Danio rerio: one gene and its partner. The main gene of each other region encodes a partner of the protein of the gene in region 2 in a complex. Links are inferred from orthologs where the notes say so. Each region holds a gene or a part of one and is shown on either strand. Other genes may lie near its edges. The genes, in order: aftpha and synrg.

Region 1 (3,185 bases), on a different chromosome or scaffold from region 2:
TATTCTCGATACATCTATATATTTATATATATCCAAGTTAATCATTCACTCAACGATTCCTTCACTACATTACAGTCGGAAGCCAGTGGTTTCAACTAGCATTAAAAAAATTGTTAAAATAACAAAAGATGAGCAGCTAGATATTAAAGCTAAATCTGTCAGAGTGAAATCAAGATAATCAATAATTAATCAATAATGTGCACAACAGAAACGTGAAGTGTTCGCTAATGCATGTGGGAAATCAACAAAACTGAAACCTACGAAAGTTTTAACGATATAAATCCTAACGTCAGCCGTAATGATGAAAAACTAAGGCCTTTGTTATGCAAAAAAACCCCAAAGAAATCGAGAAATTTGCAGGCGGTTTGGTTTCAAGTCGATATAACTACGCATTTATATATAATCTAAGTACAAATCTGATCATTCACATCCTCATTTGTGCCGCTGAAGGACTTTTAAGCCAGTGTTTCATAAAAACAAACCATGGAAAATAACAAAGTGCCTCGGTTTCTCTCTCATACACACTAACGTAACGGTGAAGAACACTCGAAAGGAAAACAAAGTCTCATCCCTGATTATATACAGATTGGCTCTAATATTAACACAAACTCTTCCTACAATCAATCTACGAATAAAATGATCTAATCCTGCCAAATTGAGCCGATTAGCACTCTCTCTCTGACGTACCGGACGATGTATTTGAACTTAAAAACGGGCAGAATGAGGAACGAGAGCTAGAGAACTGAAAGGATGGCATTAAAATCATAGACGGGGTCGAATATTGTGGAGCTGGAGAGCGATACACAATGAAAGAGAGGAAAAGAGCGCGTCAGTCGGGCGTAGAGGACGAGGGCAGGAGAGGAGTCAGTGTGGAGGGAAACATCAGCACTTTAGCCTGCATGAAGGACAGATCCGGCAGGCCTGAGATCACCCGCTGAGCCTCCGGGCTCAGATTCTCCTCCTTCGGCACTGGCTTTCTGCTGAGAGAGAGAGAGATCAGAATAATCAGACAGAGAGATCAGAATGATCAGAGAGAACAGACCTATCAGAGAAAGAGAGATCAGAGCAATCAGACAAAAAGAGAGAGAGGGAGAGGAGAGAGAGATCAGATCGATCAGGGAGATCCGATCAATCAGAGATCAGACCAATCAGAGAGAGAGAGAGAGAGAGAAGTCAGATCAATAGGGAGAGCAGTCCAATCAGATAGAGATCAGACCAATCAAAGAAAGAGCGATCAGACCAATCAGAGAGAGAAAGAGAGAGGGAGATCAGACAGAGATCAGACCAATCAGACAGAGATCAGACCAATCAGTGAGAAAGATCAGATCAATTAAAGAAATAGAGATCAGACCAATCAGAAAGAAAGATCAGACCAACTAAACAGAGATCAGACTAACCAGACCGAGAGATCAGACCAATTAAAGAGAGATCAGACCAATCAGACAGAGAGATCAAACCAATTAAAAAAAATCAGACTAACCAGACTGAGAGATCAGACCAGTTAAAGAGAGATAGAGGCGAGACCAATCAAAGAGAAATAGGCATCAGAAATCAGACCAATCAGAAAGAGAGATTATACCAACTACAGAGAAAGGGACATCAGAGATCAGACCAGTAATAAAAAAAGAGAGATTAGACCAATCAGAGAGAAAAAGATCATACCAATCAGATAAAAAGATCAGACCAAATTATAAAGAAATATCAGACAAATCAAAGAGAAATCAGACTAACTAGACAGAGAGATCAGACCAATCAAAGAGATCAGACAAATCTGGGAAATAAAGATCAGGCCAACCAAAGAGAGATCAGACCAATCAAAAAAAGATCAGAACAATCAGAAAGAAAGATTAGACCAATCAGAGAGAAAAAAAGAGATCAGACCAATTAGATAGAGAGATCAGACCAAATTAGAAAGAAAGATCAGACCAATCAAAGAAAGAGATCAGACCAATCAGAAAGAAAGATCAGACAAATCAAAGAGAAATCAGACTAACCAGACCAAGAGATCAGACAACTAAAAAAAAACAGACCAACCAGAAAGAAAGATCAGACCATTCTGGGAAATAAAGACCAGACCAATCAAAGAGAGATCAGACCATATAAAAAGAGATCAGAGTAAACAGAAAGAAAGATGAAACCAATCAAAGAGAGATCAGACCAATCAATAAGAGATCAGACCAATTAAAGAGAAATCAGACCCATCAATAAGAGATCAGACCAATTAAAGAGAGATCAGACCCATCAATAAGAGATCAGACCAATTAATGGGAGATAAGATCAATTAAAGAGAGATCAGACCAATCAAAGAGAGATCAGACCAATTAAAGAGAAATCAGACTAGTCTGGGAAAGAAGAATAAAAATCAGAGAAAGATCAGACAAATCACAAAGAGTGATTAGACCAATCTAAGAGAGATCAGAGAAATCATAGCAATACCAATCAGATAGAGAGAGTGAGATCAGACTAAACAGAGAAAGAAAGATCAGATCAGATCATATATGAGTAAATGTTTCAACATTTTGATATGTGTACACTAATATCAATGCATCAGAACAGTTGAGAGCAGTGCTGTTCTGAACTCATTCTGAACTGCAGTGCGGCTCCCTCTGGTGGAGAGTGAATGAGTTTCACTGACCTGGTGGAGGTGCTGGTCTTCTCTACAGTCGACATGAGGCGAGCAAATGCATCCACCACTCGACTGCTGCCCCCGCTGACCTCCAGCTTTACCTGGGTCAACTCATACAGCTCTGGGTCAACACCTGCACACACACACACACACACACACAAAACAAATAAACACATTTACTGCACATTTGTCAACCACCCACATAGACACACATGCAAAAACACTAGTTTAAACAGAGAGTTAAAGATACAGATGCAAACAGAGCAGAAGAACGGACACACACACACACACACACACACAGACACACACACACACAGAGAGAAAGAGATTTGGTGTTAAAACAGAAAGGTTTGGTCAAACCTGGAATAGAGGTGGCCGTGCCGGAGGGCGATTCATCCACTGGGCCGAAAAAATCGAGGTTGAGCAGAGACGAGCCTCCACTCGCTTCAGAACCACAGAAGCAGGAGAAGGTGGTTATGGAGAGAAAGAGGGAAACGAGACAGCAGGAGTAGATGCATGATCAGATTAGGGCTGCACCATACTGGAACAATATGAGATA
Region 2 (3,827 bases):
CAAATATATCGGATCTTATTCTTTGTATCGAGATGCGTATCGGATCGGCATTATAGCTTAGATGCCCAACCCTAGTCTAAATAGTAAATTGTTAAAATGACTATACAGTGCATCCGGAAATATTTATAGGGCTTCACTTTTTACACATTTTTTTATGTTACAGCCTATTCCAAAACGGAATAAATTCATTAATTTCTTCAAAATTCTACACACAATACCCCCATAATGACAATGGGAAAAAAGATTTTTTGAAATTGTTGCAAATCTGTTAAAAATAAAAACCCTGATAAATCACATGTACGTACGTATTCACAGCCTTCGTCGTAAAAGCTCTAAATTGAGCTCAGGTACATTCTGTTTCCACTGATCATTCTTAAGATGTTTTAGCAGCTTAATTGGAGTTCACCTGTGGTAAATTCAGTTGATTGGACATGATTTGAAAAGGCATACACCTGTCTATATAAGGTCCCAGGGTTGACAGTGCATGTCAAAAGCACAAACCAATAAGACAAGGGAATTGTCTATAGACCTCCGAAACAGGATTGCCTCGAAGCACAAGGCTGGGCAAGATAACAAAAAAAAAAATCTGCTGCTCTGAAAGTTCCAATGAGCAGTGACCTCTATAGGTAAGTAGAAGATGTTTGGAACCACCAGGAGTATTCTTAAGGCTGATTTATCCTTCTGCGTCAAGCGCACGGTATGCTACGGCACAGTCTATGCGTTGACGCATAGCCCTACGCCGTGGCCGTATGCGTTGCTCTTGAGCTCTTGACCTCAGACTGGGGCAATGGTTCATCTTCCAGCAGGACAATGACCCAAAAGCACACAGCCAAAATATCAATAGAGTAGCTTCACAACAACTGCTTGAGTGGCCCAGCCATCTCTGGAGACATCTGAAAATGGCTGAATACTGTCGCTTCCCATCCAACCAGATAGAGCTTGAGAGGTACTGCAAAGACGAATGGGCAAAAATTCCTAAAGACAGGTGTGCTAAGCTTGTGGCATCATATTCAAAAACACTTGAGGCTCTAATTGCTGCCAAGAGGTGCATCAACAAAGTATTGACCAAAGGCTGTGAATATTTATGTACATGTGATTTTTCAGAATTTTTTTATTTTAATCAATTTGCAACAATTTCAAAAAACTGTTTTTTCACATTGTCATTATGGGGTATTGTGTGTAGAATTTATGGAAATAAATGAATTTCATCCATTTTGAAATAAGGCTGTAGCATAAAAAAATATGGAAAAAGTGAAGCGCTATGAATACTTACCGGATGCACTGTAGTTAAATGAAAAATTCTTAAGAATAAAATATTATGTGTTCTTTGGAAGAAAATACTTGCATTACGATGCAATTATAGATTAAAAATGGTTATAAAATGAGAATATTATTGTTTATCGCAATAATTTTTGGTGCAATATATTGTGCCACAAAAAAATAAATATCATGACAGGCCTAGAGCATATTATTTGCAGGATTGTGTTAAATAAAATAATGCTTTCAAATTCACGTTTAAGGTATTGCATAATGCCTCTGTGTTGCATCTCATTCAGCATCAGAATAATTACAAATTTTGTGTGTAAAATGTTCATATACTTCTTTTTCGGTTCTCATTATTGACCAATCTATTTTCATTCTCTTGATACTGTACTGTCACTTAGATTGATAGTTCATCAAGTGATGAAGATGATGATGATATTACAATCACAACAGAACGAATGGATTTAAATTTTATCAGTTCCAAAATGTCAGTATGGAGCGTAAATACTGAAAAACTGGTAAATTAAAATGGCTGATTTATCATACAGGCAAACTAACATGTTTAAAAAAGCAAGGAAAACTGGATAGTCAATGAGGAATGGTATTAAAGCAACACGAACATACGTAAAACAGGAGAGAAAACCAAGTCACAAGCTATTAGAATTGAATACTGCATATAACTGTGCTTTTGTAACTGCCTGATCACCTGATAACACTAGGAGTTAATCATACCAGTTATTGTGCTGTTAGCAATAGTATTAATCTCATGAGATTTAAACTTACAAGCACAAGTTTTGACTGGTAAAAATTCATAATACACAACCTAAATTAATTAAATAAATAAATAAATATAAACAACAATAAATACTGTAGCCTTACAACTGTGCATGATTAAACTGGAAATGTATATAACTTGATTTGAAAATGACTGCATGATATGATGTGCATCAAGTTTTTGATATGTAACTACAACTCAGCCACAATGAACACATACAGCGTTCCAGCTGGGCATCTTGTTCTGCCTTTGAGAGGCCTCAGTGGTCTGAGCATTTGCGAAATAAAGAACAGACTTCACCAGAGCAAGCGTACTAATTCCTCACCTGCGGCTGGGGGTTGATGGGACGACAAACCAGGGAGGTCTAAGGAGCTATCAGACATCACATGCTTCAGGTCTCCACCCATGTCCGACAGCTTCATGTCTAGCTGTACTGAAAGCGCATCCTCAGAGTCCTCCTTCCCCACACTGCTGCCCCCGATGGATGGGAGGTCCAGGGACTTCACTGAGGTGGAGTCCTCTTTGGCCTGCTTGAAGGCAGCCACTTTGTCCACCAGGCTCTTGTCGGACGCACCCAGCGCCGTACAGAATTTGGAGGACTGAAAATCCGCAAAGTCGTCATTGTCACTCTTGAGTGACGAAAAGGAGCCCCCACCACTTTCTTTGTTATCATCGTAGGCCAGTCCACCTTCTAGAGAAAGCTGTTTGAAGACGTCGTATTTATCAGTACCGATTTGGTGCCTCTGTTGGGATGTCTCTGTCTGGCCTTCGCTATTGCCTTCTCTTGAGCTGGTCTCACTTCTCTGATCTCTCGAGCTGCCAAATGCCATGAAGTCAGCAAAGTCATCCTGAACCGTTGTACTAGCTCCTCTACCAGCAGCAGAGGTGGTGGGAGCTACTTCGGAGGATGAGGAGGAGCCAAAAAGGGCAAAATCGCCAAAGTCATCACCCCCCATGCTGGGAGGTTTCACAACTGCCGAGGGCAATACCAAGGATGGAGGAGCGGAAGGGAACAGGTTGAGTTTAGAGTCTGCAGTGGACGTGGGAGGAGCCATTGTCGTGAAGAGATCCAGGTCTGCCATATTGAGAGGATTTCTAGGTTGAGCCAGAGAGGCTGGCTGAGAATGGGACAGGGACTGAGAGGAAGCAAAAGGAGGAGGAAAGGTTGGCTGAAACTTGGCCTGGTCTGGTGGGTCTAGTGGAGAGACGGTGTCGGCTGTTTTAAAGTCTGTGAAGCCATCATCGGCACTGACAGACTTGAAATCAGCAAATCCCTCCCCTGTGGAAAAATTGAAAAAGAAAACAATTGAAGGGCATAGCAAACCACATTTCACACCCAAACAACAAAGGACAGAAAGCTGGCACTGCACAAAACAGAGTCTGCCTACAAGTCACCCAGCGTTCCATTTTTATGGGCCTAAAAGAGAAAAATGAATTAGTAATGCTCAATGCAAAATGTGTTTGACAGCTGAATTGAACTAAAAAAGTGGCAAAGGGATTTTCACTGAAGATTTCACAGCACACAAACACACACTCTTTTCTTGTGGTGAAGTAAAAAGTAGTTGACCAACGAATGTATAATATGGGGCCATTTTCAGATTGATGTAAATGGCCAATAAGCAATGTTTGTGACCTTATGTCAATTACAAAATTGTCTGACAGCCTAAGGCTGATAATCATATAGATCATGTATATTGGGTGGCATAGCTGCTTTAAATCAGGGTGCTTTCACACTTGGTCTGAATGCCTGGTCCGAACCCAAGTTTGATAGTCCCCCCCCCCAGCTGGT

What was found.
Region 1: synrg (region 2) and aftpha share a complex: the UniProt entries of both Homo sapiens proteins name them as parts of the aftiphilin/p200/gamma-synergin complex. The link is inferred for Danio rerio from reciprocal best matches to the Homo sapiens genes SYNRG and AFTPH.

Annotation. Positions count from the first base shown.
Region 1 is NC_133176.1:58,591,309-58,594,493, reverse strand, and holds the end of aftpha (aftiphilin a), read right to left. Parts: intron 3,071-3,185; coding exon 2,987-3,070; intron 2,760-2,986; coding exon 2,636-2,759; intron 981-2,635; coding exon 830-980; 3' UTR 551-829; downstream 1-550. UniProt on the Homo sapiens protein: Component of clathrin-coated vesicles.
Region 2 is NC_133190.1:18,372,158-18,375,984, forward strand, and holds part of synrg (synergin gamma), read right to left. Parts: intron 3,318-3,827; coding exon 2,364-3,317; intron 1-2,363. UniProt on the Homo sapiens protein: Plays a role in endocytosis and/or membrane trafficking at the trans-Golgi network (TGN). May act by linking the adapter protein complex AP-1 to other proteins. Component of clathrin-coated vesicles.